Struthio camelus: one gene and its partners. The protein of the gene in region 2 purifies or fractionates together with the protein of the main gene of each other region. This does not show direct contact. Links are inferred from orthologs where the notes say so. Each region holds a gene or a part of one and is shown on either strand. Other genes may lie near its edges. The genes, in order: SART1, SF3B1, SNRPD2 and PRPF3.

Region 1 (7,873 bases), on a different chromosome or scaffold from region 2:
GCTCAGGGGTGTCCCCAAGGGGGTCCTGACGTCCCCAAGGGGGTCCCGAGCTCACCCGCTTCCTTCTCATGAACTCTTCCTCCACCAACGTGCTGACACCAAACTCTTGATCCATCTCCTCCAGCAGCTTGGCCTGAAACGGCGCCGTTTCGCCCCGAATTAACCCCATGGTGGGGGCAGGGAGGGTTATTCACCCACCCGGATGCCTGGGTCCCCTCCCGGCACAGGGGCAGGGCACCCCCGGACGCCTGGGTCCCCTTCCCAGAGCTCACCCTCTTCTCCGCCAGCTCCTTCTCCTGCTGCAGCTTGCGGCTCCGCTCGATCCAGGCGGCCGCGTCGTCCAGCCACGGGTCGTCTTCGCCCAGCGTCTTCACTTTCCTTGTTCCGGGGGAAAAAAAGGGGTTCTTGGGGCCGCCCCCACCCGTGTGGGTGCTGCCGGGGCAGAGGCAGGTTGGTGGGGGGAGGCTCACCCCAGTTTTTGGTTGAGGAGCCGCTTCTCCTTGGCGGCCGCCAGCTTCTCGCGGATCTCCTCCCGCTGCCGCTGCACCAGCGGGTTGATGACGTCGGCCGCCACCGGGTCCTCCTTGGTGCCGGCTTCTGGGGGGAAAAACGGGGAAAAAGGGGGCGTTGGGGGGGGGCCAAGAACACAGGGAACCCCTCCAAAGTGGGGCGAGGGGGGCACTTTCTCCTCACCTTTTTTCACAGCGGACACCTCCAGCGGCTTCAGCCCCAGCTTGGCGCGGAGTTTGCTGGAAACGGGGAAAAACAAAGGGGTGAGAAAAGGGGGCAAATATGGGGGTAAATTGAGGCCTGGGGGGCAAATATGGGGACGGGGGTGGTGGAAATGAATGTGTGGGAGCAAACAGGGGTGGGGGGCACCCTGGGGTGGGGGCAGCGCAGGCATTAGAAAAAAATTAATAAATATCATGGTAAGCAAACGCATTTGAAGTGATTTAAGGAAAATTAAAAAGCATTCAGCAGTAATTGCAGAGTATTAACGATATTTGGGGTAACGGGGGAATGCTGGGGTGATACTGGGGGTAACTGGGCAGCGCAGAGCAGTGCTGGCAGTAACTGGGAACATTTTGGGGCCTTATGGGGACTTTTCACAGAACATTCAAGGTTTCTGCAAACATTTGAGGAACTTCACCAAACCTTGGAAAACATCGAATGAATATCAGAGCAAAACAGTGCGGTTTTGGGGTTACGAGCACAGTTTTAAACGGCATTGGGGGAGCACTGCAGAGCATCAGAAAAGTACTGGGGCAACTGAGGAGTAAGCGGGGGGATTTGGGGGTATATCAGGGTAATAACAGCCACTAGAACTTAAACAAGTAACTACTGAGTATTAAAAGTAGCCAAAAAAAGAACTATACGCTAGAAATACTTAGAACTGCACCAGAACAACAGTGGTGAAAATCTGGGCAGCACCAAGAACTTATCAGGAGAACTGGGGGGTTGTTTGGGGTATCGGAGAGCGACCAGGAGTAACGGGGGCAACGCGAGGGGTTACAGGAGGTAATTGGGGTGTCGGGAGTTTGCCAGAGTAACGAGAGTGTAAGAAAAAGTATCAGAAAAGCGTCGGTATAACTACGAGTCGGCTACGATAAATGACAGATATCAGAACAGCACCGGCGGACCCAAGAGTTGCAGGAAATAATCTGAGAGTATTAGAGAAAAACTAGCGTAACCGGGCATTACAAGAAATAATCGGGTGGTATCAGAGCAATATTGGGGCAACTAAGAGTTACAAAAAGTAACTGGGGGCATCAGAGGGGTATTGGGGGTATCGGGGGCCCCGCGGGGCTCTGGCTCACTTGGTCTCCTCGACGCTGAGCGACGACTCGCCCGCGGCGGCCTTAGAGGCGGTGGCTGGCGGGGGCAAGGGGGGTCGTTAGCTAACGAGGGGGATCAGTACCCCGTAACCCCCCCTCCCCAAGCCCCACAACCACCCCAAGGCTCCATAACCGTCCTCAGAGCCCCACAACCACCCCCGAGAACCTCCCGAAGCCCCATCACCACCCCCAAGGACCCCCAGATCTCTACAAAGCCCTATAATGACCCCCCCAAGGACCCCTCCCAGCACCCCCTGAAGACCCCCCAGCACCCCCAAGGACCCTCAAGGCCCCCAATCACCCTCAGAGACGCCTAGATCTCCCCAAAGCCCCATAGCTTCCCCCAAGGACCTCCCCCAGTACTCCTCAAAGCCCCCTAACCACTCCCAAAGACCCCCTAATTACCCCCACCCAGGCCCCATAACCACCCCCAGAGGCCCCCAGACCCCTCCAAGCCCCCTAACCTCCCCTAAAGGTCCCCACAGACCCCCCCCATCCCAAACCCTCAACCACCCCTAGCCACCCCCAAACACCCCCCAAGCACCTCAACCGCCCCCAAACGCCCTCCCCAGCCCCCCAGCCGCCCCCAAACGCCCTCCCCCAAACACCCTCCCCAGACGCCCCCCAAGCCCCCTAGCCGCCCCCAGACGCCCCCCCAAGCCCCCTAGCCGCCCCCAGACGCCCCCCCAAGCCCCCTAGCCGCCCCCAGACGCCCCCCCAAGCCCCCTAGCCGCCCCCAGACGCCCCCCGGGGACCCCCCGGCCCTCTCACCGGGCTCGTCCCGCTCCTCCCGCCGCTCCCTCTTGCCCCGTCGCCCCGCGTCGGGCTCGGCTCCGCCTCGGCCATGGCTGCTGCCACCGCCGCCGCGCCCGGACTCCTCGGTGCCGCCGCGTCGCGACGAGCCGCTGCCGCCGCTGCCGCCGCCGCCGCGCTCGCCCCGGGAGCGGCTGCGCTTGCCGCGCCGCTCGCCGCCGCGGTGCCGGTGCTTGCGGTGCTCGCGGGGCCGCCCCGCCGCGCTGCTGCTGCCGCCGCTACCGCCGCCGCTTCCCCCCGCCGCCGCCACTGCTGCTGCCGCCGCTGCTGCTGCTGCTGCCGGGGCCGCCGCCGCCGCCGGGGCCTCCTCGGTGCCGGCCTCGGCCCCGCCGCGCTCGCGGTGCTTCTTGGAGGAGCCCATGGCCGCGCCGCTCCCGCCGGCGGCCGCTTCCGGGGTCGCCGCGCCGCTTCCGGCGGAAGCCGCGGTGTCTTCCCCGCCCCCTCAAGGCGTCACTTCCTCTGGTGGGCGGGGCCGCGCCGCGTTGCCGTGGGGACGCAGCGGAAGTTGGGGGGGGAGAAGGGGGCAGAGTCCGGTGCCCCCCCACCCCCAGGGACCCAGGCGTCCGGGCAGGAACCGGCAGGACACGTGGAGGCGGGGGTGGGGGGCGGTGTCACCAAAATGGCGACCTCCAGGGCGTCACCAAAATGGCGGCCTCCTGAGGGGGCCACCAAAATGGCGGCTCCGTGTGTGTGCGGAAAACACCACAATGGCGTCTCCGTGGGGGGCGGCGGGGGCCCCAGAAACGGCCTCCGGGGAGGGGAAGGGGGGACCCCAAAATGGTCTCCAAGTTGGGGGCCCCCCCAAATGGTGGCCAAGGTGGGGGGGGTGTCCCCAAAATGGCTGCTGCAAAGGCAAGCCAAGATGGCGGCCCCCTGGGGGCACCCCGAAATGGCGCCCGGGGGGAGGGGCCATGTCCCACCACCCCCAAGGTTTGGGGGTGGGGGGGACCCAGACCCCGGGGTGGGGGAACGCGCTGCGTTTTGGGGCCCCCTCGAGGTTTGGGGTGGGGGGGCCGGGGTGGGGGAAGGGCGGCGCCGCCCCTTCCCCCCCACCCGGCGGGGAACAATGGGGCATTGTCTCGGCGCCCCCTCCCCTCCCCCACTTCCTGCACTTTGATCCTGGCGCGTTGCGGCCGCGGGGGCGGAGCTAGGCCGCGGAGGGGGCGGGGCGAGGGGCGGAGGGGCGGGGCGAGGGGCGGGGCACGGGCGCTCTATATAGAGCCAGCGCCGCCGCTGCCCGTCCCATAGGTGACAGTAAGGATGACGCAAGTACGGGGAGGGGGAGGGGTGGCTCGCTTTTTGAGGGCGATTCCTGCTTTTCGGAGGGTTCCCCACTATTTTGGGGGGGGCCCCACTATTTTGAGGGGAGATGCCTGTTTTTAGGGGAAAAGGGCGCGGTACCCTGCCTGACGTGGGGACCCAGGAGTCCGGGGACCCTGGATTTAGCTATGGATGATTGGGGGGGGACCCCAAATTATTGGGGGTGCCTGATATCGGGGTGCTGGGGGGCATATTGGGGTGCAGAGTGGGGCTCTGCACGCTCTGGGGGTGCCCGGGAGGGTCTTGGGGCACACAGTGGGGCCCTGCCTGGTCTGGGGGGTGCCCATGGGGATATTGGGGTGCCCGGTGGGGGGTTCTCTAGGTGCCTGCAGGGATATTGGGGTGCACAGTGGGACCCTGCAAGGTCTGGGTGCACCTAGGGGGATCTCAGGGTGTTTGGGGTGGAGTCTGGGGGTACCTAGAGATGATCTTGGGGTGCTCAGGGGGATCTCGGGGTGCTCCAGAGGCTCTTAGGGCACTGGGGGGTGCCCAGGTGAGTCCTGGGTGCCTGAGGGGATTTGGGGGTGCTCAGGTGGGTCTGGGGGAGGCCTGGGTGATATCTCAGAGTGGCCAGGAGGGAGACTTAGGGGTGTTCAAGTGGGTTTGGAGATGGTTGGGGAGGGATTTGGGGGTGCTCAAGTGGGTCCAGGGGGATCTTGAGGTGCCCAGGAGTACCTCAGGGTGCTTGGGGGGAATTTGAGGCTGCTCAGATGGCTCTGGGGGGATCTCAAGGTGCTCAGAAGGGTCTCGGGGTCCTTGGAGAGGCATTTGGGGGTGCTTGGGTGGCTTTGGGGGGATCTCGGGGTGCCCAGGAGGCTCTCAGGGTCCATGGAGAGGCATTTGGGGGTGCTTAGGTGGATCTGGAGATGTTTGGGAATATCTCTCCCCTAGAGAAGGGGATTTGGGGGTGCTCAGGTGGGTTCGGGGGGATCCCAGGGTGCTTGGGAGGGATCTTGGGGTGCCCAGGGTCCTTGATGATCTTAGGGTCCTTGGATGGGCATTTGGGTGTGCTCAGGTGGGTCCAGGGGGATCTCGGGGTGCCCAGGAGGATCTCAGCATCCTTGGAGGAGCATTTGGTGGGTGCTTAGGAGGATCTGGAGGTGTTTGGGAGTATCTTCCTCCCAGAGAAGGGGATTTGAGGGTGCTCAGATGGGTTTGGGGGGATCTCGGGGTGCCCAGGAGGATCTTAGGGTCTTTGGATGGGCATTTGGATATGCTGAGGTGGGTCCAGGGGGATCTCGGGGTGCCCAGGAGGATCTCGGTATCCTTGGAGGAGCATTTGGTGGGTGCTTAGGAGGATCTGGAGATGTTTGGGAGCATTTTCCTCCCAGAGAAGGGGATTTGAGGGTGCTCAGATGGGTTTGGGGGGATCTCGAGGTGCTTGGGAGGGATCTCGGGGTGCCCAGGAGACTCAACGCGGGGGCGTCCACCTCACCCGCAGGCCATGGAGCCGGAGGCGGCGGCGCTGCGCGACGTGGAGCTGACGACACTGGACGCCGAGAAGCAGCCGATGGCCGGTGGCGTCGAAGAGAAAAATGGGCTGGTGAAAGCGGCGCCCCCGAAATCCGCTGGCGGGGCGGCGCCCGGCGAGGAGGAGGATGAGGAAGAGGAGGGCGAGGAAGGCGGCGGCGGCGGCACGGGCGCCAAGTTCACGGGGCTGGGCAAGGAGGAGCTGGTGCGGGTGGCCGGGGCGGCGGGGTGGGCACGAGCCCGGGCCGCCCTGCTGCTGCTCTTCTGGCTGGGTTGGCTGGGCATGCTGGGCGCTGCCGTGGCCATCGTGGTGCGCGCCCCCCGCTGCCGGCCCCTGCCCCCGGACTCCTGGGCCCGCCGCGGCTTCCTCTACCGCGCTCCTCCCGGCCCCTTCGCCCACAACCTCACGGGTGAGGAGCAGGGAGGGAGGGATGGGGTAGGGGGTGGCTTGGTGGCACTGTGGGGTGGCTCTGGGTACCCATGGGGTGGCCCTGCAGGATCTCATCCCCATGGGATGGTCAGGGTGGCCCTGGCTCCCCGTGGGGTGGCAGAGGTGGCCCTGGGTCCTCATGGGGTGGCCCTGCAGGGTCTCCTCCCCATGGGGTGGTCAGGGTGGCCCTGGCTCCCCATGGGGTGGCAGAGGTGGCCCTGGGTCCTCATGGGGTGGCCCTGCAGGGTCTCCTCCCCATGGGGTGGTCAGGGTGGCCCTGGCTCCCCATGGAGTGGCAGAGGTGGCCCTGGCTCCTCATGGGGTGGCCCTGCAGGGTCTCCTCCCCATGGGGTGGTCAGGGTGGCCCTGGCTCCCCAGGGGATGTCACAGGTGGCCCTGGGTCCTCATGGGGTGGCCCTGAGGGGTCTCATCCCCATGGGATGGTCAGGGTGGCCTTGGCTCCCCATGGGGTGGCAGAGGTGGCCCTGGGTCCTCATGGGGTGGCCCTGCAGGGTCTCCTCCCCATGGGGTGGTCAGGGTGGCCCTGGCTCCCCATGGAGTGGCAGAGGTGGCCCTCAGTCCCCATGTGGTGGCCCTGCAGGGTCTCCTCCCCATGGGGTGGTCAGGGTGGCCCTGGCTCCCCAGGGGATGTCACAGGTGGCCCTGGGTCCTCATGGGGTGGCCCTGCAGGGTCTCATCCCCATGGGATGGTCAGGGTGGCCTTGGCTCCCCATGGGGTGGCAGAGGTGGCCCTGGGTCCTCATGGGGTGGCCCTGCAGGGTCTCCTCCCCATGGGGTGGCTAGGGTGGCCTTGGCTCCCCATGGGATGTCAGAGGTGGCCCTGGGTCCTCATGGGGTGGCCCTGCAGGGTCTCCTCCCCATGGGGTGGTCAGGGTGGCCTTGGCTCCCCATGGGGTGGCAGAGGTGGCCCTCAGTCCCCATGTGGTGGCCCTGCAGGGTCTCCTCCCCATGAGGTGGTTCTGGCTCCCCATGGGGTAGCCCTGTAGGGACTCCTCCCCATAGGATGGCAGAAGTGGCCTTGGCTCCCCATGGGGTGGCAGAGGTGGCCCTGTGTCACCATGAGGTGGCCCTGTAGTGTCTCGTCCCAGGTTGACCCCGTGTTCCCAGAGCATTAAGGTTGTTCCTGCTGTCACCGTCAGGCTGTGCTGTCCCCTCGGGGTGTCATGGTTGTCCGTGTTGTCACCACTGGGCTGGGCTGTCCCCTCGGGGTGTCGTGGTTGTCCCTGCTGCCACCGCCGGGCTGCGCTGTCCCCTCGGGGTGTCATGGTTGTCCCCGCTGTCACCATCAGGCTGCGCTGTCCCCTCGGGGTGTCAGGATTGTCCCCGCTGTCACCATTAGACCCTGTTGTCCCCCCTCGCCCCGTGTCACCCCAAAACCTTGCTGCCCCCCCCCCCAAAGGGACCCGGTGTCTGGGGCAGCCCCTCCCCCACGGGCAGCAGGGCCCAGGCATCCGGGGCCCCACGTGCTGGAACCGGTTCCAGCTGGTCGGGTTTCATCAGCCACCGCCTGGGGCGGGGGAATGACTCAGCTTTGGGGGGGGCTGTGACACAGCAGGATAGTTTGGGGGGGGGTCCTTGAGGGCTCTCCCCAGCCCAGGGGGGGAATTCAGGGTCTCCCCTCTATTTTGGGGGGTTTTGGGGTCCCTGAGGGCTCCCCCCAGCCCGGGGGGGGGGAAATTGGGATCTCCCCTTTATTTGGGGGTGTTTTGGGGTCCCGGAGAGCTTGCCCCAGCCTGGGGGGAGAATTCGGGGTCTCCCCTCTATTTTGGGGGGGTTTTGGGGTCCCTGAGGGCTCCTCCAAGCTTGGGGGGGAATTGGGATCTCCCCTCTATTTGGGGGTGTTTTGGGGTCTCTCCTCTGTTTTGGAGGGTTTTGGAGTCCCTGAGGGCTCCCCCCTAGCCCAGGGGGGAAATTGGGGTCTCCCCTCTATTTGGGGGGGTTTTGGGGTCCCTGAGGGCTCCTCCCAGCCTGGGGGGGGAATTTG
Region 2 (7,569 bases):
ATATATGACCAGTCATTTACATATAGATAGATATAGCTAGAGATATAAAATATAGAGCATACATTTGCATTAGAAAAGAAATGGTTCCGTTTAAACTCAGATTATAAACTTTAAACGATTTGTAAAACATTTCATTGTTAGGATCTCATCTCGAGGATGACCATTTAAAAAATAGACAGAGAGACAGAGTCGATCCTAAATGAGGCAAATAGATCTGAATTATCATTGTTAAAAAAACGTGCTATTTTTAACTTGCTACGTTCAGCTCTGCTTCTACAGATGTGTGAGCAAGGCAACTAGTTTAATGTGTCCCTTTGGCAGCCAAAGATATGCAGGGTGAAGCAATAATAAAACCATTGTCTTCTTACTTACAAAAAGATTTTGAATAGTATCTGCAATTGAAGTATCTCAAAATACCCTATAAACTTCTGTAAAGTCTCACAACCACATCATTAGGCAGAGAAAGACGAACTACAAGCAGGAGAAATGGGTAAATTACTGGTTACATGATCTGCAAACAACAGAAGTTGATGCCACAGCTAAGAATTAAGGGCAGATTTACTATTTCACACTCTGGTACATTATCAGGAGCCATAATATAAAATTAGGAGAGCTTTCTTGTATTTCATATATCACAAGTGAACTAGTTTCTGGCATAGCAAGAATTAGGCATACCCTCAATCTACAAAAGGATCCTCAGACGCCCACTTAATCCTACCAGCTATCACAGAGAGCTCTGTGTCTTTATACTGGATAGCCTGAATCCTGTTATGGGGCTGGTGAATCTCTGCCCAGCTTTCCTGAATTCCTGGTGTGCCCAGTTCATGCCCCGAGATGTTTTGCTGCAGAGCAGTGCGTGGATTATGGCTCCTCACCCCTTTTAGGGATGCCCGTTTACTCTCTGCCTTGGTTTTCCACATGTGCAAAGGGAGAAAAATAGCAGTAGTCCCATTGCCAAGCGGGATCAACGACATTTATAACTGAGCTGTTTGGGTGCAGCAATACTGGAAAAGGCACAAATAGATAAAGCAGGTAGAAGGTGACATGCCCTCCCAGGGCCTGACAGCCCAGGGCCACCCGCACCCCTGGCCTGACCCTGCTGTAAGGACACTGCCACTGCTGCCAAGCCCCGGCACCCAGGTCCAAATTTTCCGGCCAACAGCTGAGAGGACTGACCTCAGGTCAGAAGGGGGCTCTGGCCCAGCCTCAACCCCCCCCCCCCCCCCCGGCACTGCAGTTGCTATTTGCATAGTGTTAGCTTGTGGTGCATTATTTTATACCATTAGGTGTGCGGAAAAATTGAATATAAATAAAAAGTTATTTTGGGGTAAATCAACAGGAGAGTGTAGCCAGGAGCATGGCTTCATTAAGTGAATCAGTGCCAGAAACTTCTGCTGGCCCCTCGGAAGGGGTAAATCAAGGACAGGCTAATGTGGCTGGATACTTCTTTCAGCCACAGTGCCAGCTAATGATGGCTTCAGCTGGCCAAAGAAACTGGACCTGAATCTATTCCATAAAGCAAGACATGGCAGGTCTGTAATTTAGGTCTGATTTACTCTAAATCTGCGAAGCTTTGGGGTTCTTAAATCCAGTCTATTCCCAATCCATAGAGGAGTCTCCCTGCAGTGTATGTGCATGTGCGTGCAGGGGAAGGGAACTTTGATAGGCAAAACAGGACTGGTAAACCACTAAGTACCATCCTGTCCATACCCTGTGGAAGCTGCGTGTTAGGGATGTTGTTCAGGAGGCAAGAAATTTGTGTATGCCTATCGAAGCCCTGAATCCTGACACAAATTAAAGAGCCTCGACAGCGTACAGAATTTGTGAGAAAAGATAAAAGACACAAAGAAGCAGAAAGCAGTTTTGTCACTGCACTTCACAGTATATCCTGCTTCAGCACAACACAATTCCTGTCGGCTCTCACAGCACCTTGAGAGAACTCCATCTTTTGTGGGGGAAATAGCATATCCTCAAATTACTACGTAAAAGAGTTCCTTGGGTTGACCACTGCTGAGCTTAGTGATGCATAACAGCAGAAGGAGCACAGCATTGCTGTCCATAACCGTTCAGCCTCACAGGAGCTGGAAGTCAGGCTGAGGAAACAAGAGAAAGTTACTGCAAATTGATATTCATAGTGAACCCGAGCATGTGACGCAGTTACTTAAAATAGTTACATGCATTAAATTCCTGCAGTAGGGAATTACTGTCTGCCTCAATCTTACCCTCATCTATCTCTAGGCAGTTCAGTACATATCTCCTTTTGTGGCCGCTAAGTATGTGCAAGTACATCTTTCTAGAAATGCAGAATGTGAGCTTAATAATACTAAGAGAAGAGAGAGAAGACTCTCAGTATCTTCAAATGACAGTCTCGTTCACTTAAGAACATTTGAATACATTTAATTATGTGAAAAAATAAAAGCAAGGAACTGTTCAGCAAACTTACGTGAGCTAAGCAACACAAAGCAAAAAGAGGTAGATGACAGATGGACAGATCAAACACAGATATTCCCACAAACATACAACCTTGGCTTTATCTTCTTTAAGACTATCCTCCAGGAGTCCTAATGTGAACAATCAGCCTTCATAATGGGAATGATTTATAGGCAGAGAGTGTGATGGTTTTGCCATCATGTACTTATCTCCCTTTTTGCAAATAATTTCTACATTTTACCTTATCAGAAATTCGTTCAACTCACTCAACAGAAATTGTTTCACATTGCTTGTTGCAAAGGCTTGACTATCTTAGTAATTTAGCAGTTGTACAATAAAACCATAAATACAAGTAAATATACTACATAAGATTACATATTACACTGAGTGCTATGAAACGTCATTAATGTGTTGCAAGATTAAGCAATCCTGTATCTGAACTTTGAACTTAGGTTGTGTGGTTAGCCTTGCTGTTTTGCTTAGATTTTTGCCTACTACTGCTAAAAAATAAGACAATGACGAGTTAGCTCATTTGCAACACTTGATATAAGGGAGAGTTCCAAGGGCTTTGGATGTGGACAGAATCAATCCTATTCAGATATGAAGTGCAGTAGCGATAGTATTGAAATATGGATATATCACATTAAAAGAAAAACTGCTAGAAAAGGTAAGAGTTTCCAAAATGAAATGCTGAAGCTGCACAAGAGCAGTTATTGCAGAACAGCCAAACAATTAGTTTCTGTCACCATTCCTACCCAGGGCACGTTTCATAACCCTCTGATCATTCCTCTGCCCTGGTCTGGACTATGTCCAGCTTGTCCACGTCTTTGTTAAATTGCAGAGTCCTAGAATGAACTGCACCACGATGTACTCCATCAGTGGCTTTGACTGTGCCAAGTGAAGTGAAATGATTGCTTTCCAGGTTTTATATACAATACCACTGTTACTCTATCCCAGAATTGGATTTTCTTCTGCAGCAGCATGATGTTGCTGATACATATTTAGCTTTGATTTGCTATCCACATCAGATCATTTTCTCATTATTTTGGCTATTTTGAAAGTGTATACTTGTTTTCAACTTCCAATATGTACTACGTTATGCTCGTCTTCATTAAAGTCCACCTTCTTGATCTCAAATGATTTCTTTTAGGGATCAAGATAATTTTGAATCTCATCTTGCAGCTACTAGTAACTTTGGCCAGTTTGGTGTCATCTGCCAATTCTAGAAACGTATCTTCAATTCCCTTTTCAAAGGTCTTACTAAAATATTCAGTAGAATTGATCTGCCTAGAGTGCTTTTGTCCCCATTAGACAGAGAAAAACATCGGTAACTATTCTAAGGGCGATTTTTCACCCGTCTTGTGGCAAATATACAAATTTATGCCCTGTTTTTGTATCTGTTGCTTTGTCCTTTGTTATCGGCCCAGTTTGCCTGGTAAGAGCAAAGAAAGGTCACGCAATTTGGCAAAACGTAGCAAAGTTGCCAATCTCCACACCAGAACCAACCCTCAGCAGGGAGCAGCATCAGTGAGAAGCGATTTTTCAGGAAGCAGAGACTTATTTGATTGTATTTTGACTATCCGTGCAGTGCAGTGGAAGCGTCATCGTCTTTCGGTGTCTCAAACGAGAAGAAGGCATCTCGCAGGCAGATACTGAAAGAGCGCCACTCATTTGTCTTTGGCTGAAGACAAACGAGAAACACTGGAGCCCTTGTACTTCAGGATAACACAGCAGCTACTTACTGCCGTGCCAAGGCCAGCAGAAGACACTGTCCCCTATCAACTGGCCTGGAAAGCACCGCTCCCTGCCCTCGCCCTGCGTTTGGGCCCTGCCCGCAGCCCTGCTGCGCCACACGCCTCAGCCCGCCTCAGCGCCCCCCTCCGCGCGCGCCCCTCCCAACGGCCGCCCCCGCGCGCGCCCCTCCCAACGGTCTCCTCCACGGCGCGCCCCTCCCAACGGCCGCCTCCGCACCGCTCAGCCGCCCTGCCATTCGCTGACCGCGCCGTCCATCACGGCGTGGGCGGGGCTCCGGCGCTGGCTCGCGGGGCTGCCCGGCCGGCAGAATGGCACCGCCTCTCGGCCTTCACTGCGCTTGCGCGGGGCCCCGCGCCGCGCTCAACCCGTGCCCCGCCCCCCAGCTGGCGCTTGCGCGTTGAGGCCCCGCTCCCCCTCCCCTCTGTAGCGGAAGTGGCTGGGCCGAGCCAGTTCCGCCTCGGCGTTGTTCGCTCTGGACAAAATGGCGAAGATCGCCAAGACCCACGAAGGTAAAAAGCCCCTATAGAGCCGCGGCGGCGCTGCTGGTACCCGCGTGTCCTGCCCCGGCCCTCCGATTCCGCTTCTCCCCGACTCCTGGGCCGCGTCAGGCCCGGCTGCGCGGCCGGGGGCCGGGGCCGGGCGGGCTCGCCCCGGGCGGGCTGGGCCTTGTGTAATGGCGTCTCCGGCGGTGTCACCGCCATGCCCGGGCCGCCGGCTGGCGCGGGGCCGGGGCGCCGCTCAGTTCCGGCTTTGTTGACCCCGAGAGGCCGCCGCGGCGCGGCGGCGACGTGAGCGCGGCCCCGGTCGCCCGTGGGCCGCGCCGGGCCCGGCCCTGGCCCCGCTCCGCCGCCGCGGCCTTGCCCCCTGCGTGGCGCCCGCTCGGAATGGCGCTTTCCGCCCGCCTCGGTTTGACGTGACGCGCGTCAATAACGCACGCTTATTTTGTTTAAGTGAGCCCTTGGGCCTGTGTCCGCTAGAAAGCGGAGGCCGCGGGCGCAGGGTGAGCTGTGATGCTGATGGCCTGAGTTGTTGCTAGGCGTCGTGTCGGCACGGCGCTGTTGAGAAAAATGCCCCGAAGGAGGGGAAAAAGCAGCGTGAGGTCTCAGGCTTTTAAAATGCCGTTTCAGCACGGAGGCTTCCTGTCGACTGGGGGTTTACATGGGAAAACTGATCTCTGAGCAGTTTGTGAGTGAGGGTCTTTACAGGCAGTATGTTGTTGCTCTCTGAGGTGTTACATGGCTCTGTACAGCATGAATAAAAGCTATCTCTTTTGTCAATGTCAGGGGTTTGTTTAGCTCTTAAGTATCTTAAAGCAAATGGTGTTGTTTTTAGAATTGTACTGCTTAATGCTTTCCTGCAAATGTTTTCTGTTTTTGTGTTTTTACTCATGTTTCTGCGTGTGATAGATGAACTGCTGTGCTTTGTATTAATTTACATACTGGATTCACTAATCAAAAAGTACTTCTGGACAATGGTTGTACCAAGTGAGGTAGGCAGGCTGTCTCTCAGGGAAGTAAGTTTTGCACTGAAAAAAATTCCTAATTTAGAGGCAGCTCCAGGTTGACGTGGACTGCAGGATCTGGTCTGAGCTTATGTAAGAAGGGGAAGCTTAAATAATTTTCTTCACTTCTCCCCCCCCCCCCCCCAAATAATTTGAGATTATATTTTAGCATTCTATAATGTTTTTTATAGAGTTACTGAATTTATTTATCTTCTGGTTATATGCTATGGCATGTATAAGGTTTGTATTGGATATTACCCAATTGGGTGTTACACATCACAGTGCTCTGTCTCTCTCACTAGTCAAAGATATTTTAATAATAAAATAGCAATATGATGTTTTTTCTTATTTTTCTTATACACTAAAGCAAGTCATGGTCCATTGAATTTAACGGAAGTGTTGTCATGCTTCCAGTTATGAGTATTAACAGATTAGCTTTGAAGCAGGCTTTAAAGGGTTTTTTGGTATGTAAATAAATTGTTATGTACAATTGGCAGTCATCATGTAATGTTATCTTGCCCTACATAGACATACTGGCTGAATGACTTGATTTTTTTTTTCTTTTGAGTTGTATGTTTTTTTTTTTTTTTTATTCCTGACTTATCTCCTAAATTGAATGAGTTATCTGTTACTAAATTCTCTTAAGATGTTTCACATCTTTGTACTGCTTTTAAATACTTGCTGATTTGATGTGTTCAAGACACAACTTGGAAAAGATCTCACACAGTTTGGGATTATTTCACTTGCATGATCTACAGGGAAATACTCAGTTAAATTAAAGTTTCAAAGTTATAAAAAGGTTATAAAATAGGAACTTATAAAGTATCTTAAGTGCTTGAGTTTTGAAATGCTACTGAAAATAGGTTTTTAATTGACAGTGCCTTGTTAAATAAGAAAAAAGGTTAAAAGAAGCAAACCTCCAAACATAATAAAGATTTAGTCCTAACACGGAGGAGAATCCTAAAGTGATTAGGATTGCACAGGGCAAGCTAAGAATGCAAAAATATAATTAGTAAATTGGAAAACATAGAAACTACTTCCACTCTAAAATACTTAAAATACTACTTCAATACAGGGAATGATTCTTCTTTCTTTTTTTAATGACGAGTAACGTTTTCCTTTCCAAACGTTGTAGATGGAACTAATCTTATAATAGTGGAGTATGTATTTTGAGAAGGGCTATCATGATCTGACTGTGAACTAGGTTTTCAGTGACTTTCAATTCATATGTGTTCACTTTCATGTTATGTATTCACTGTATTTTCCAAATCAATTGTGCATGTTAAAAGTACTCTTTCAAAAATACCAAAATATGTTAAAGTTACTGAATGGGGTAAAATACAGAAAGGGGATGATCAGTGGGATGTTGTGCTGTGTTTTGTGGTCTCTACTGCTGTTTGATCGAAGTAACTTTCTGTGTTTAGGCCCTGGTTCAGTAAATCATCAGACAAGTACTTCGCTTTACAAAATCACATTCCTAAGCTATCGAGATTACTCTCATTCTTCATCTGTTTTATGTTTAAATGCTTTCTTAAATAGAGTGTTAGATTTTTCTAGAAAATGCTGGCTAGATCAAGGAAGGTAAACATCTCTTTAATCTCAAACTAAAGTCTTTTCCTGCCAAGTATGTGGTACTTTGGAAACTTGCAATCGAGTTGTGTCTGGCTGCAGACCTTTTAAACCTGCTGGTTAAGGGAGGGTGCAGCTCATCAAATGGATGTTCTCTTTAAGAAGTGCTTCATTTAGACTGTAAGTCTAGCACTTACGGACTTCATTGCCTTGGTTGAAAATGATCATGGCCATAAGTGGGGGTTTGCTAACCCTACTGATTCCATGCCGACTCTTTTTGTGGTTTAGAATAAGCTGGCAGGTTTTGCTCTGAG
Region 3 (7,094 bases), on a different chromosome or scaffold from region 2:
CCTGGGACCAGTCTAAGCTCTAACTGGGACCAGTCCCAGCCTCTAACTGGGACCAGTCCGGGCTCTAACTGGTTTTGTCCCCGGACTCCTGGGTCCTTCCCCCCCTCCCCACCGGGGGGGGGTGCGGCGGGGGGAGGGGCCCGGACGCCTGGGCTCCTTCCCCTCTCTGCCCTTGGGAGAGCAGCTTCCCTCCCCCCCCCCCACCCGGCCCGGACGCCTGGGTCCCCTCCCGGTGGGGGGAGGGGTGGAGGGGTCTATGGGGCGGGCCCGGACGCCTGGGTCCCTGCCAGGTTCGGAGAAGGGGGGGGGAGGATGTGGCCCGGACGCCTGGGCCCCTTCTTGGTGGGGGGGGTCCTGAATGCCTGCGCCCTCTTTTTGGGGGGGAGGGTCCCGGACACCTGGGCCCCTTATTGGGGGGGGGTCCCGGACGCTTGGGTCCCTTTTTGGGGGGTGTCCCGGATGCCTGGGTCCCCTCTTAGTGGGGGGGGGGTTGCCCAGATGCCTGGGCCCCTGCCAGGTTTGGAGGGGTGTGGCCCGGACGCCTGGGCCCCTTCTTGGTTGGGGGGGGGGTCCGGCCGCCTGGGTCCCTGCCACGTTTTGGGGGGGGTGTGGCCCGGCTGCCTGGGTCCCCTTCTTGGTGTGTGTGGGGGTCCCGGACGCCTGGGCCCCTGCCAAGTTTGGGGGGGTGTGGCCCGGACGCCTGGGCCCCTTCTTGGTGGGGAGGGGGTCCCGGACGCCTGGGCCCCCTTTTAGGGGGGGTGGGGGGTGTCCCGGACGCCTGGGGCCCTGCCAGCTTCGGGGGCGGGGGTATGGCCCGGACACCTGGGTCCCTTCTTGGTGGGGGGGACGCCTGGGTCCCCTTTTGGTGGAGGGGGGTCCCGGACGCCTGGGCCCCTGCCAGCTTTGAGGGGGGTGTGGCCTGGACGCCTGGGTCCCTTCTTGGTGAGGGAGTCCCGGACTCCTGGGCCCCCTCTTGGTGGGGTGGGGGGTGTCCCGGACGCCTGGGCCCCTGCCAGCTTCGGGGGGTGTGGTCCAGACACCTGGGTCCCCTCCTAGTGGGGGATCCCGGACGCCTGGGCCCCTGCCACGTTTGGGGGGGTGTGGCCCAAACATCTGGGTCCTCTTCTTGGTGGTGAAGGGGGTTCCCGGACACCTGGGCCCCCTTTTAAGGGGGGGGGTCCCGGACACCTGGGTCCTTGTTAGGTTTGGGGGGTGTGGCCCGGACGCCTGGGCCCCTTCTTGGTGGGGGGTGTCCTGGACGCCTGGGCCCCTGCCACATTTCGGGGGGGGTGTGGCCCGGACACCTGGCCCCTTCATGGTGGGGGGGGTCCCGGACGCCTGGGTCCTCTCTTAGTGGTGGGGGGGGCCCGGACGCCTGGGCCCCTGCCACGTTTGGGGGGGTGTGGCCCAAACGTCTGGGTGTCCTTCTTGGTGGGGGGGGGTCCCGGACGCATGGGCCCCCTTTTAAGGGGGGGGGTCCCGGACGCCTGGACCCCTTCTTGGTGGGGGGGGACCCGGACGCCTGGGTCCCCTTTTGGGGGGGGTTCCCGGACGTCTTGGTCCCTGCCAACATTTGGGGGGGGTGTGGCCCGGACGCCTGGGCCCTTTCTTGGTGGGGAGGGGGTCCCGGATGCCTGGGCCCCTGTCAGCTTTGGGGAGGGGGGTGTGGCCTGGACGCCTGGGCCCCTTCTTGGTCGGGGGGGGGTGTCCTGGATGCCCGGGCCCCCTTTTGGGGGGGGGGGTCCGCACCTAAGGCCGGTGGGGAACCAAGCAGGGACCCAGGCGTCCGAGGGGCCCAGGCGTCCGGGGGAGGCCCGTGGCCGGCGGGAGGGGGGGGGGTGTCACCGGGCAAGACACGCCGAGGCCACGCGTGACGAGCCCGCGAGGCGGCACGCGCCCGGCCCGGCGCACACGCGTGTGCGACGCCTCGGCCCTGGCGTGGCGCCCGGCCTGGCACCGGCCCCGCGGCCGCCGGCCGGGGAGGGGCTGCCACCGCCGCCGCTCGCACGACGGCGCACGTGGCTCGCACGAGGACACGGCCGGCTCGCACGAGGACACGCGTGACATGCACCAGGACACGCGTGACTCGCACGGGAACCGACCTGGCTCGCACGGGGACACGCGTGACTCGCACCAGGACACATGTGACTCACACAGGGACACGCGTGACTCACACGGGGACCCGCCTGGCTCGCACGGGGACGTGTCCGGCTCGCACCAGGGCACGCCTGGCTCGCACGGGGACATGTGTGACATACACGAGGACATGTGAGACTCGCATGGGGACCCATCTGGCTGACAAGGGGACACGCGTGACTCACACGAGGACACGTATGACTCGCAGAAGGACACGCGTGACTTGCAGAAGGACACGCGTGGCTCACGTGGGGACCAACCTGGCTCGCACGAGGACATGCGTGACTCGCACGAGGACCCGCCTGGCTTGCACGAGGACACGTGTGTCTTGCACGGGGACGCGTGTGTCTCGCACGGGGACACGCGTGCGTCGCACGAGCACCCGTCCGGCTCCCTCGGGGACCCTCGTGCCCCCCCCTCACCCCGGGACGGCCGGTCCCCCACGCCCCGCACACGCGTGGGGGAGGGGGCGGACCCCCCCCGCCCCGGCCCCGCCCCCCTGGCCGCGCTGGCCCCGCCCCCGGCCGCCCAGGCTCCGCCCCCCTCCCCGTACCTGGCCGCCAGCCGCCCGGCCATGGCGCCGCCGCCGCCGCCGCCGCCGCCCTCTGCGCGCCCGCTCCCACCGCGCCGCCGACCCCCGCCCGGCCCCGCCCCCGGCCCCGCCCCCGGCCCCGCCCCCGCACGCCCCCTCCCGCCTCCGGCGGCGCGCCACGCCCCCTGCTCCGCCGCTGCCGGCCACGCCCCCTCCCGCCGCGCGACACGCCCCCCGCTCTACCGCCGGCCCCGCCCCCTCCCTCCCGCCCCGCCCCCATCGCCGGCACACCCCCGTTCCTTGGCCACGCCCCCGAGGCCACGCCCCTCGGACCTCCCCCCGCCCCGCGCCCCGCGCCCCGCTCCGGGCAGCCCCCCTCCCCCCCCCCCAGCACTGTCACCACGGGGCACCCACGGCACCCGCTGCCCCCCCGCACTGCCCCCCCCGCACTGCACTCACTGCCCCCCACTGCACCCCCTGCCCCCCCCGGCCATCCCACTGCCCCCCACACTGCACCCGCTGCCCCCCACATCTCCCACGGCACCCGCTGCCCCCCCGCACTGCACCCCCTGCCTCCCCACCCCGCACTCTGCACTGCCCCCACTGCATCCTCAGCACCCCCGCACTGCCCCCTTGCGCTACCAGCACCCACTGCCTCCCTCGTGGCACCCCACACTGCACCCCTGGCACACACTGCCCCCCACCCCGGACACCCTGCACTGCTCTCCTCCGGGCACCCCCAGCGCCCAGCGCCTCCCAGCACCTTGTTCTGCGCCCGCTGCCTCCCCACGCCCCCTCCCGCTTTGGTACAACTGGGGGGGGGCGGGGGCTCATGTCAGCCTGGGCCCCCCATGAGGTCCGTTTCCAGCCCCCCCATGTCTGTTTCCACTCCCCATGTCTGTTTCCAGCCCCCCCAATGTCCATTTCCAGCACCCCATGTCCGTTTCCAGACCCCCCATGCCTGTTCTCACTCCCCCATACACGTTTCCAGCCCCTTCATGCCCATTCCAGCCCCTATGGCAGTTTCCAGCCCCCCTATGTCCATTTCCACTCCCCATGCCCGTTTCAACCCCCACATCTGTTACCAGCCCCCCATTATCTGTTTCTAGCTCCCTCTGTCCATTTCCAGACTCCCATGTTCGTTTCCAACCCCCCCAAGTCCGTTTCCAGCCCCCCGTGTCCGTTTCCACCCTCCATGTCTGTTTCCAGCCCCCCATGTCCGTTTCCACCCTCCATGTCTGTTTCCAGCCCCCCATGTCCGTTTCCAGCCTCCCCATGTCCGTTTCCAGCCCCCTCCGGGCAGTTTCTCGCCCCCCCCAGCGCTGCCGCCGTGGCCGCGCGCGGCCCCGCCTCTTTTGGCCGCTCCGCCCTGCCGTAGCGGCGGCTCTTCCCTCCCCCCTCCCCGCTCCCGGCGCGCATGCGCAGCGCCCTCTTTCCCCCCGCGAGTGCGCCGTGACCCCGGAAGTAGCTCCTGGGCGCCCCGGAAGTGGATCCGTGCGGGCGGCGCGCGGGAGCGGGAGACGCGCGAGGGGAGCCGCCATGTGAGGGGGGAGCGGGAGCGGGGGGGAACCGGGAGCGGGGGGGGGGACTGAGAGAACCGGGGGCGGGGGGGGAACCGGGGGCGGGGGGAACTCAGAGAACTGGGAATGGGGGGAACGAGAACAGGGGGGAACCGGGGACGGGGGGGGACCGGGGCCGGGGGGGGACCGGGGACAGGGGGAATGGGAACGGGGGGGAACCGGGAACGGGGGGGAACCGGGGATGGGGGGGAACTGAGAAAACTGTGGATGGGGAGAACAGGAACAGGGGGGAACCGGGGCCGGGGGGGGGGAACCGGGGCCGGGAGGAACTGAGAGAACCGGGGATGGGGGGGGGGAACGGGAACAGGGGGGAACCGGGGAAACCGGGGATGGGGGGAACCGGGAGCGGGGGGGGGGGGAACCGAGGACGGGTGGGAACTGGGAGAACCGGGAGCCGGGGGGAACCGGGGATGGGGGGGAACTGGGGGTACGGGTGACGGGGGGGGGAACTGGGAGAATCGGGGACGGGGGCAACGGGAACAGGGGGGAACTGGGGATGGGGGGGAACTGGGGACGGGGGGAATGGGAACGGGGGGGGGAACCGGGGCCGGGGGGAGGGGGAACTGGGAGAACTGGGGATGGGGGGGAACCGGGGACAGGGGGAATGGGAACAGGGGGGAACCGGGAATGGGGGGGAACTGGCAGCGGGGGGAACCAGGGATGGGGGAGAAATGGGAGGACCGGGGATGAGGGGAAACTGGGAGGACCGGAAACGGGGGGAACCGAGAGCATGGGGGATCCGGGAATGGGGGGAACGGGGAACTGGGAGTGGGGGGGAACTGGGGGAGGGGGAACTGGGAACAGGAGGGAACAGGAACGGGGGAGGGGGGCCAGGAACAGGGAAGACCGGAAACGGGGAGGACTGGTAAGAGGGGAGAACCAGGGACGGTGGGAACCGGGAGCAGGGAGGGGACCAGGTCTGGGCTCCCCCCTCTCCCCAATGTCCCCGCTCCCCGTTGTCCCCCCCCTCCCAGTGCCCCCCTCATGCCCTTGCGCCCACTCCTGCGTCCCCCCGGGCGCGTCTTCCCTGCTGTCCTGTTCCCCCCGTCCTCTGTTTCCCCCCCCCCTCCCCCCATGCCGGTGTCCCCAACCCTGGGGTGACCCGGCGGGGTGACGCCGCAGGTCGCTGCTCAACAAGCCCAAGAGCGAGATGACGCCGGAGGAGCTGCAGAAGCGCGAGGAGGAGGAGTTCAACACGGGGCCCCTCTCCGTCCTCACCCAGTCCGTCAAGAACAACACCCAGGTGCTCATCAACTGCCGCAACAACAAGAAGCTCCTGGGGCGCGTCAAGGCCTTCGACAGGTCCGTGTCACCCACCCCCCGGTGTCCCCAAACCCACCCCGGCGTCCCTAAATTCCCCTGGGGCCCTCTGTGTTCCCGAATCCCCCTCCTGCCACCCCAAAGTTGTCCCCGTTGTCCCCAAATCCCACCCCGGCCTCCTTAAATCCTTCTGGAGCCCTCCGTGTTCCCAAATCCCCTTCCTGCCACCCCAAAGTCCCCCCCAGTGTCCCCAAATTCTTCCCCGATGTCCCCAAATGCCCCCCTGGAGTCCTCTGTGTTCCCAAATCCCCCTCTTGCCACCCCAAAGTTATCCTTGGTGTCCCCAAATCCCACCCTGACCCCCCCAAATCTTGCCCTAGAGGCCTCTGTGTTCCCAAATCCTCCTCCTGCCACCCCAAAGTCGTCCCTGTTGTCCCTAAATCCCACCCCAGCCTCCTTAAATCCCTCTGGAGCCCTCCGTGTTCCCAAATCCCCTCCTGCCACCCCAAAGTTGTCCCCGTTGTCCCCAAATCCTTCCCTGGCATCCCCAAATGCCCCCCTGGAGCCCTCTGTGTTCCCAAATCCCCCTCCTGCCACCCCAAAGTCCCCCCAGTGTCCCCAAATTCTTCAGTGCTCCCCATTGTCCCCCCAAAACCTCCCATGACCCCACTACCCCCCTGAGGACCCCAGTGTCCCCCCAAATGCGCCTCGCATCCCCAAATCCCCCCCGGTGTCCCCCAAATCCCCCTGGAGCCTCCCCCGGTTCCCAAATCCCCCTGCCACCTCCCCACAGTGTTCCCCGGTGTCCCCAAAACCTCACGGGAGCCTGGTGTCCCCCAGGAATCCCAATGTCACCAAAATTCCCCCCCACCCCCAGTGTCCTCACGTGCCCCTGGAGCTCTCCATATTCCCCCAATCCGCCTCCTGCCACCCCAAAGTTGTCCCCGTTGTCCCCATATCCTGCCCCAACGTCCCCAAATGCCCCCCTGGAGCCCTCTGTGTTCCCAAATCCTCCTCCTGCCACCCCAAAGTCCCCCCCAGTGTCCCCAAATACTTCCCCGACGTCCCCAAATGCCCCCTGCAGCCCTCCGTGTTCCCCAATCCCCCTCCTGCCACCCCAAAGTCCCCCCCAGTGTCCCAAATCCCACCCTGGTGCCCCCAAATCCTGCCCCAGCATCCCCGAAATCCACCCTGGCTTCCCCAAATCCCCCTCTGTGTTCCCAAATCCCCCTCCTGCCACACCAAAGTTGTCCCCCGTGTCCCCAAATCACCTCTGTGTCCCCAAATTCCCCTGGAGCCCTCCAGGTTCCCAAATCCTCCTCCTGGTGGCCCAAAGTGCTCCCCAGTGTCCCCCCCAAAACCTCCCAGCACCCCAGTGTCCCCCCTGAGGACCTCAGTGTCCCCCAAATGCCCCGGGTGTCTCCAAATCCCCCCTAGTGTCCCCAAAATTCCTCCTGGCACCCCCCCAGGTTCCCAAATCCCCCTTTTGCCTCCCCAATATCCTCCCCAGTGTCCCCAAAGTCCCCCCCGGGAACCCTGCTGTCCACAAATTCCTCCCTCTTTCCCAAAGTCCCTCCCCCATGTCC
Region 4 (7,564 bases), on a different chromosome or scaffold from region 2:
AGGAGCTGCTTATTGTGCACCTATTCTACGCACTGCTTGCTCTATCAAGGGGTCCAAGTGCTTCTACAAACAATTGCAGATTTGGGGTCAGAGCACTCTGGCCATACCAGCTGCTTTCTTTTTGTCCATTCCTTTCCCAACGCAGTTCAGCGCTGCCGTAACCACAGTGGGCTCCGAGAACCCCAGGACTCGCTTCACTGTCTTCTCGATCCATGGCTTCAGCTCATCCAATTCTCTTTTGGACAGCGACATCTTTGCTAGTGGCTGATTCTAATTATCGTGCTTGTACCTGAAAAGCAGACAGACAAGGGAAAAAAAACCCGACACAATTAGTTTAAAAAAAAAAAAAAAGACAGATTATCATTGTATCAATGCCCTGTATTTTTCTCTTCAAAGAGAAAACTTACAACCAATAAAAGCTCTCAGAGATTACTTTTGCTTGCTTGTTTTTAAAATGCAAGCTAAAATTAGCTAAGAGTCCTGCAGAAGCATGGAGAGGAAGGGTCTGAGCAGCAAGGAGCCTACACTCTGACCAGACAAGACAAAGCATAAGACCTTCCTAAGGGAAACATCATGCTCACAGATTACTCTGGAACTCTGCATGAAAAGCAGGACTAGTCCCTGCATCTCCTAAATCCTACCAACACAAAGCCCATCTTCCCTAAAGGGGAAGAAATAAACCAAGTAGCATATCTGTCCTTGCAGCGCAGGCTCCACTTCCACACATGGATCCCCACAAACAGGATGGGAAAGTTTGGTTTTGAGGTGTCCCTTCAGTCCTTGGCTTGTCTTACAAAAGCAGGAAAGCCAACCAGTGTCAGGCACAGCAATGGCTTTACTTATTTATGCAGCTAATTACTAATGGATAAAGACTCACTCACCTTCCATGAAAACCACCAGCTCATTACGGACTACATTGCTCAAGGCAAGCTTATTGTATCCACTGTTTTAAAACTATGTGGGCTAAATAACATCCCAAGCAGATACTGAAAAATCCAATACGTGCATATACACATATGTTAGAGCGCCGCGTCCCTTTAATCTGAGGTTCCCAGACTACTTTGAACACGCTGTGCTTCACAATATGAAGTGCTGCAGCCCTTTTCTTACTCCAGGGAGAGATTAAAGTCACAATCTGCAGTAAAAGACCATCTCCCAGCCTTCTCATTCTGCCTTACTACATGAGCCTGTACAAACACTTTATTCTGTGGCATGCGGTCCAAGTCCCGGAAATTTGTGGCTATGCTCAAGGCTAAGTTTGAAAATCTCATTTAGTCAACAGATTTACTAATGCTTAAAGTTCAGCACGTGCCTGACTACCCCTGCATTTGCTACTTAAACTAGCATCAGTCTCCAGCAAGCCAGTAACAACGTATTTCCCAGCCTGATCATTTTGAACTGAACAACAGATTGCAGGCTTTCAAGACAAAAAACTCTCACCGTCAGTCATTAGTGGTTCATACTTTTAATGTCATTTAGAGTCTGTAAATGCAATAAAGTTTAATTATGCACCCAGGCTCTAATCTGATTTGGAAACCAAGTCTTCTTTATCTGGAAACAGGAGAAAATCTTCTTAAGGAAGTATGTTTGACCTAGACATTTCTTCCCTAGAAGAAAACGCCTGCATAGCCTGGAGGTTAATATGGATCTATTTAAACAGAAAGTAAATACCACCTCAAATAAGGCTATCACTCACAAAGAGAGGGCCACAAAAAAAAGATCTTGGGCCTTAGTTCTAGTAAAGTGCTTTTTAATTTAGGGTCTGCGGGAAGTACTCAAGAGAAGAAAAGCTACAGGTTCAAAATAGCTACTAGGGGCAGTTACATTTTCACCAGAGACTTCGTAACAGTCTGCAAAGCAAAAGGTTGAAAATCTTCACATCCTTTTTTTTCCTCCCCCCTACAGAGAGTTTCACAGAGGTATGTTAAAAAGCAGCATCAAACACAGCTCAAAAGTACATTACTACTACATTTCAGCTGTAACTCCTGACTTGTAGCATATAGCACGTCAGAATAAAGGTGTCCAAGATTCAAGATAATTTAAATTAATTGAGTGCTACACTGCATCTGCAATACTGATGTTGGTCACAGCTGCATATATACATAAACATACAAATAAAAAAGTTTTTTTTTGATAAATCCAAAACTTACACAATTCATTTTTGGTTTAAACTCCGCATTAATCTTTAACTTATGTAATTCAATAAGGTACAACAAAGAACTGCAACACGTTTAATGGAATTTCACTGGGTGAATATAAGGAGAGTAAATACACTGCTTGGCATCTAAAGGTACCTCTTCCAGCAGCATTAGTGCTCCTAACACTGTGTACACAATGTTAGCTTGCGGGCATGACAGACTCAGGTGAGGGGCAAGGCTTAATAAATTTCAGTAAGGAAACTGGTGCTGAAGCGTATAACACACCTTAATTTAAATATACATCCACTCGCCTCCTTCATTATATTATTTCCCAGAAATAACCTGAAAGCGATGGTCCCACAGCGCTGTTGGCAAAACAACCGAATCCTTCGGGAAAAGAAAAAAGGGGATTAACTTTATCTTGCAAAACTTGCACGCCTAAAACCAAGCAACAACGCCAGGCACAGTGAACTTCGGGGTGCTGAGGAGCTATTGGACGGCGCACACCCAGGAACGCTGGGCGCTCCCGCCGCACAAAAGCCCTCGGGAAGCCCCGGCCGGAGCAGCTCGCGGAATCGGCGGCCGCAGGCAGCGGCCTCCGCGGGCCCGTCCTGCCCCGCGGCCCGGCCCGGCCGCTAAAGCAGCGGAGCAGCCCGCGGGGGCGGAGCCGGCCGCCCCCCCCCCCCAACCCCGGCCTCGGGAGTTCCCCGCGACGCGACGGCGGCCTCCGGTAGGCCGCCCCTCCCCCAAGTGCGACCCCCCCCGGCCCCGGCGCGGGCGGCTCCTCACCGCCCGGCTCTTCCCCGCGGCGGGGCGCGGCCCCGGCACTCCCGCGGCGGCGGCGGCGGCAGGGCAGGGCCCGGCCCGGGCAGCGGCGGTGGGCCCGGACGGCGACGGCACGTCGGGGCGGAAGCGGAAACGGCCGCAAGGCGCCTGCGCGCGCGCCCGCGCAAGGGGTGTCGGGAAAGAGGAGGGTGGGGGGGGGCTCTCCTTCGGCACGTGACGCAGCACCGCCCGCCGCCGAGGTCACGTGGGCTCCCCCCCCCCCCTTCCCCGCGTTACGTGGGCGGGTGACGCGGAGCTCCCCCTGGCGCGCGCCTCGGGGCACGCGCGCTGCGCGGCAGGGAGCTTGCAAGGGGCGGCGTGCAAGGAGCAGCATGCACCGTGCAAGGGGTGGTGTGCGAGGGCGGCATGCATTGTGCAAGGGGTGGTGTGCGAGGGTGGCATGCATCGTGCAAGGGGTGGTGTGCGAGGGTGGCATGCATCGTGCAAGGGGTGGTGTGCAAGGGCGGCATGCACCGTGCAAGGGGTGGTGTGCGAGGGCGGCATGCACCGTGCAAGGGGTGGTGTGCAAGGGCGGCATGCATCCTGCAAGGGGTGGTGTGCAAGGGCGGCATGCATTGTGCAAGGGGTGGTGTGCGAGGGTGGCATGCACCGTGCAAGGGGTGGTGTGCGAGGGTGGCATGCATCGTGCAAGGGGTGGTGTGCGAGGGTGGCATGCATCCTGCAAGGGGTGGTGTGCGAAGGCGGCATGCACCGTGCAAGGGGTGGTGTGCAAGGGTGGCATGCACCGTGCAAGGGGTGGTGTGCGAGGGTGGCATGCATCGTGCAAGGGGTGGTGTGCGAGGGCGGCATGCACCGTGCAAGGGATAGCGTGCAAGGGCAGCATGCATCGTGCAAGGGGTGGTGTGCGAGGGTGGCATGCACCGTGCAAGGGGTGGTGTGCAAGGGCGGCATGCATCGTGCAAGGGGTGGTGTGCGAGGGTGGCATGCATCCTGCAAGGGGTGGTGTGCGAGGGCGGCATGCACCGTGCAAGGGGTGGTGTGCGAGGGCGGCATGCAGCATGCAAGGGATAGCGTGCAAGGGCGGCATGCATCGTGCAAGGGGTGGTGTGCGAGGGTGGCATGCACCGTGCAAGGGGTGGTGTGCAAGGGCGGCATGCATCGTGCAAGGGGTGGTGTGCGAGGGTGGCATGCACCGTGCAAGGGATAGCGTGCAAGGGCGGCATGCACCATGCAAGGGGTGGAGTGTGAGGGTGGCATGCACTGTGCAAGGGGTGGTGTGTGAGGGCAGTGTGCAGCATGCAAGGATGATGTGCAGCATGCAAGGGATAGCGTGCAAGGGTAGCATGCACCGTGCAAGGGGCGGCGTGCAAGGGTGGCATGCACCATGCAAGGGGTGATGTGCGAGGGCAGTGTGCAGCATGCAAGGATGACATGCAGCATGCACTGTGCAAGGGGCAGTATGCAGGAGCAGCATGCAGCATGCAAGGGTGGCATGCAGTGTGCAAGGGGCTATGTGTGAGGGTGGCATGCAGCATGCAAGGGGCAGTGTGCAAGGGCAGCGTGCCCCATGCAGGGGAACATGCAACATGCAAGGGGCAGCCTGCAAGGGGGGCATGCGAGGCTGGCATGCAGTGTGCAAAGGCCAGGCAGCACGCAGGGGCTGGCATGCAAGGGGCAATCTGCAGCACTCAAGAGCTGGTGTGCAACGGGCAGTGTGCAACACAAGGGCTGCCCTCCCCTTCCCCTCAGCCTGCACGCTCATACAGCTGGCTCTGCAAAAGACCCCCAAGCATACCTGCAGCACTTGTACAGCTTCCTGCCACCCGCTGCCCCCCCAGCACTGGGACACCGGCAAGCAAATACCCACCCCCCCAAGAGCTGCAGCTGCTACCTCATGCTCCCAGGAGCAAACGCTAGGGTTTTGCAGCAATGATGCCCCCTGCCCTGTTGACACGCAGGCACAGACAAAAGGCCCATGGATCTCTCAACATGCAAAGAAAGTGATCCTGTTACACAGTGCCAGGGTGCAAACTATTGGGGCATGGGATGCAGTTGGTCTGGAAAAATAAAACCCTTCCAAGAGCAGAGGGAGGAGGCTGGTAAGATTGTGTAATGTGGACTTTGAGCTGACCAGAGCAGCCTTACAAAAAAAAAAAAAAAAAAAAGAGATGGTATTTAGGATTTTCATACCAAACCAGAACAAGTGGCTTCCCTCCTCAGGAAGCACAGACTGTCATTTGTATTAATCCACCAGCCAGATTTGAGAGGCTAAAGGGACCTCAAAAACAAGTAAAATAAAACAAGCAGCACCTTATTGCGTAACACAGGCTCCTTGCTGCCTGTCAAAACTGCAAACTGAGGGGAAAATGATTATTTTAAAAATACACTGCCAGCACTTTGCTATTTATACAAACCAAATCAGAAATTGTCCTTCTCCCCATTGGTCTGCAAGAGGCCAGGATGGCCTTAGCTAGGCCAGGTGCTATTTAAACAAGACGCAGAGGAGCGGCTAGTTCGAGCAGCAGAATCGCACACGATTTGCTCACCCGAGCGTCACCCAAGCACAGCAGGCGACGCTGCCAAGATGTATTTATTAACAGATAGAAAGGTGACAGCAGTGACACAGGTCCGTCCTCCGCGTGGAGAGGAGCTCGGTTTGCCCGGCCCTCGCGCGCGGTGCCGTGGCAGGGGCCGCGACAGAGGGCTGCCAGCTCCCGATTTCCCGCGGCGCGGCCGGAGCTAGTGGCCGAGCCACGGGTCCTGCCGGTTCTTCCGCGACAGAAAGGCAATCTTCCGGGCCATCTCGGTGTTGTAAACGCGCCGGCACGCCTCGTAGGCCAGCCGCTGCCTTCGGCGGCACGGCTTCTCGTAGTACCGCTTCTGCTTGACGTCGTCGATGATCCCGTCATGCGAGAGGATTCTGCGGGGAGGAAGAGCGGAGTCAAACGTCGCGGCTTCTGCACAATGCGCCGACTGCATCAAACACCAAAATAAACCCACCCACGAGCCCGTATTACGCAAGAGAGCCCTTACTGCAGGCTCCGTTTAGCCTGCTGCTCCCTGCATCACCTATTTCTTTAAATTAGCTGACAGCAGGAATGACAGGCAGGTCAAAACACTGGGGATTTGGGTAAAGAACTGGGCCTCACTTGCATATTTTTAACTCTCCTGCATCAATTACTGCCAGTAGGAATTACAGCGCAGGTAGTCTCTGATGGTGAGGCATTTGCAATGATTTTCCAGTGAAGAGAGGCAGACAGGGCTGGTTGAGAACAGGAGAGGGGTAACCCGCCAACACCTGACCCAGCTCAGTGCACGCAAGGATCGGTCGTCTCCATGCTGCGCCAGTCATCCCGACTTGTTTTGCTCAGAGGCCATTAATGCAAAAACATCAGAGGTCCTAAAGCATTTCGCTTAGCAGGCTGAGAATTATCAGGAGGAAAATAAAACGCCTTTAAAACTTCATTAAGCTGCTTGGTAGTTGTGAAAAATTAATGTGCTGCAGGTAAAGGCAGTTTTCTCCATGGTTACCAAGTCTCTCGGCTGGAGATGACAGCCTGGCAGGCATGTGGTGCCACACCAACGCTGCTGCCTGCGCTTACCGTCACCTTCAGCATGTTTCGCCCCAGCAGAGCGAAGCGGAGACCTTTCCTAAACCACGGCCCGGGCGTCCACAGACGGCGAGTCAGCCCCGTGCAGGCTCTCTTGGAGCCGTCAGCGAGCACACGAGGTGGGACGCAGCTGCATTCCTCCCCGAAGTTATTAGTGGAAATAGTCACGTCAGCACCGCTAAGCTCAGAGCTATAAATAAGCCCCAGCGCTGGGCTCTTTTCCACCCTGCTCCCGAGGCGGCTCCAGCATCCCCCCTCACCGCTCCTCTTCCCCGCGCCGGGGCGGCAGCAGAGCTCCCACGGTGGCTTTGCCTCTCTCGACATCAAAGCCCCATGGCCGGCCACTTCGCCGCCACCACCGTTCCCAACGGGAAATGCTTTCTCCCTGCTGGGTAGGGGCAAACTCCCAAGCACAGCTTGGAAGGCTGCACCGGGCTTTTTCCAACATCCTTACAACACGTTCCCATTTACAGCCACAAGGATGAGCGTTTTAACCTGGTCTGCCCACAGCTGCGCTTAAACTTGGCTATTTTTAAACCACATACGCCCTTAATCTTTGCTTTTACACTGCAGCCTTCACCTGCTGAATCATCTGTTGCTGCTCTTTGTTACAACTCAAGATCAAAGCTCCTCACGCAACACCGGGTGATTTTGCTGCTAATGAGAAAAACTGTCATTCACGCCCCCCGCCATATCATGTACTCTGTTCATCTACTTGCATCTTTCTTATCGCTTGGTACAAGGACAGCAATCCTCGTTTCCGAGGTTAAATCAAGCAGAGCTCATACAAGGTTCACGGAGGTCCTTGAACCCAGCCCTAGGGAGCATAACTGCCTACCTGTTACGGATGGCAACGAGCCACCGCAAGCAACGAACCTTTAGAAGCACGGCTTAAGCCATTTCAGGAAAACCTGGCGTCTGAGCCTTGACTTCGTCCACATTGTAATTCAGGCAAGTTTTTGTACCAATTTAAAATGATGTGGGAACCCAAAGACTGCGACAACCCTGACAGAGTCTCGCGCTCCACAA

What was found.
Region 1: the proteins of SF3B1 (region 2) and SART1 purify together in Homo sapiens (co-immunoprecipitation; 4 studies listed by BioGRID and IntAct, with this or other methods). This does not show direct contact. The link is inferred for Struthio camelus from reciprocal best matches to the Homo sapiens genes SF3B1 and SART1.
Region 3: the proteins of SF3B1 (region 2) and SNRPD2 fractionate together in Homo sapiens (co-fractionation; 5 studies listed by BioGRID and IntAct, with this or other methods). This does not show direct contact. The link is inferred for Struthio camelus from reciprocal best matches to the Homo sapiens genes SF3B1 and SNRPD2.
Region 4: the proteins of SF3B1 (region 2) and PRPF3 purify together in Homo sapiens (co-immunoprecipitation; 3 studies listed by BioGRID and IntAct, with this or other methods). This does not show direct contact. The link is inferred for Struthio camelus from reciprocal best matches to the Homo sapiens genes SF3B1 and PRPF3.

Annotation. Positions count from the first base shown.
Region 1 is NC_090976.1:736,814-744,686, reverse strand, and holds the start of SART1 (U4/U6.U5 tri-snRNP-associated protein 1), read right to left. Parts: upstream 3,010-7,873; coding exon 2,607-3,009; intron 1,873-2,606; coding exon 1,818-1,872; intron 750-1,817; coding exon 694-749; intron 598-693; coding exon 471-597; intron 379-470; coding exon 273-378; intron 134-272; coding exon 56-133; intron 1-55. Other genes in the region: amino acid transporter heavy chain SLC3A2, read left to right, coding at 3,909-3,917, 5,410-5,848. UniProt on the Homo sapiens protein: Plays a role in mRNA splicing as a component of the U4/U6-U5 tri-snRNP, one of the building blocks of the spliceosome. May also bind to DNA.
Region 2 is NC_090947.1:11,827,537-11,835,105, forward strand, and holds the start of SF3B1 (splicing factor 3B subunit 1), read left to right. Parts: upstream 1-4,557; 5' UTR 4,558-4,666; coding exon 4,667-4,694; intron 4,695-7,569. UniProt on the Homo sapiens protein: Component of the 17S U2 SnRNP complex of the spliceosome, a large ribonucleoprotein complex that removes introns from transcribed pre-mRNAs.
Region 3 is NC_090957.1:2,001,228-2,008,321, forward strand, and holds the start of SNRPD2 (small nuclear ribonucleoprotein Sm D2), read left to right. Parts: upstream 1-4,079; 5' UTR 4,080-4,207; coding exon 4,208-4,209; intron 4,210-5,370; coding exon 5,371-5,550; intron 5,551-7,094. UniProt on the Homo sapiens protein: Plays a role in pre-mRNA splicing as a core component of the spliceosomal U1, U2, U4 and U5 small nuclear ribonucleoproteins (snRNPs), the building blocks of the spliceosome.
Region 4 is NC_090971.1:2,724,282-2,731,845, forward strand, and holds the start of PRPF3 (U4/U6 small nuclear ribonucleoprotein Prp3), read right to left. Parts: upstream 3,011-7,564; 5' UTR 2,928-3,010; intron 2,526-2,927; 5' UTR 2,424-2,525; intron 290-2,423; 5' UTR 253-289; coding exon 108-252; intron 1-107. Other genes in the region: MRPS21 (small ribosomal subunit protein bS21m), read right to left, coding at 5,664-5,844. UniProt on the Homo sapiens protein: Plays a role in pre-mRNA splicing as component of the U4/U6-U5 tri-snRNP complex that is involved in spliceosome assembly, and as component of the precatalytic spliceosome (spliceosome B complex).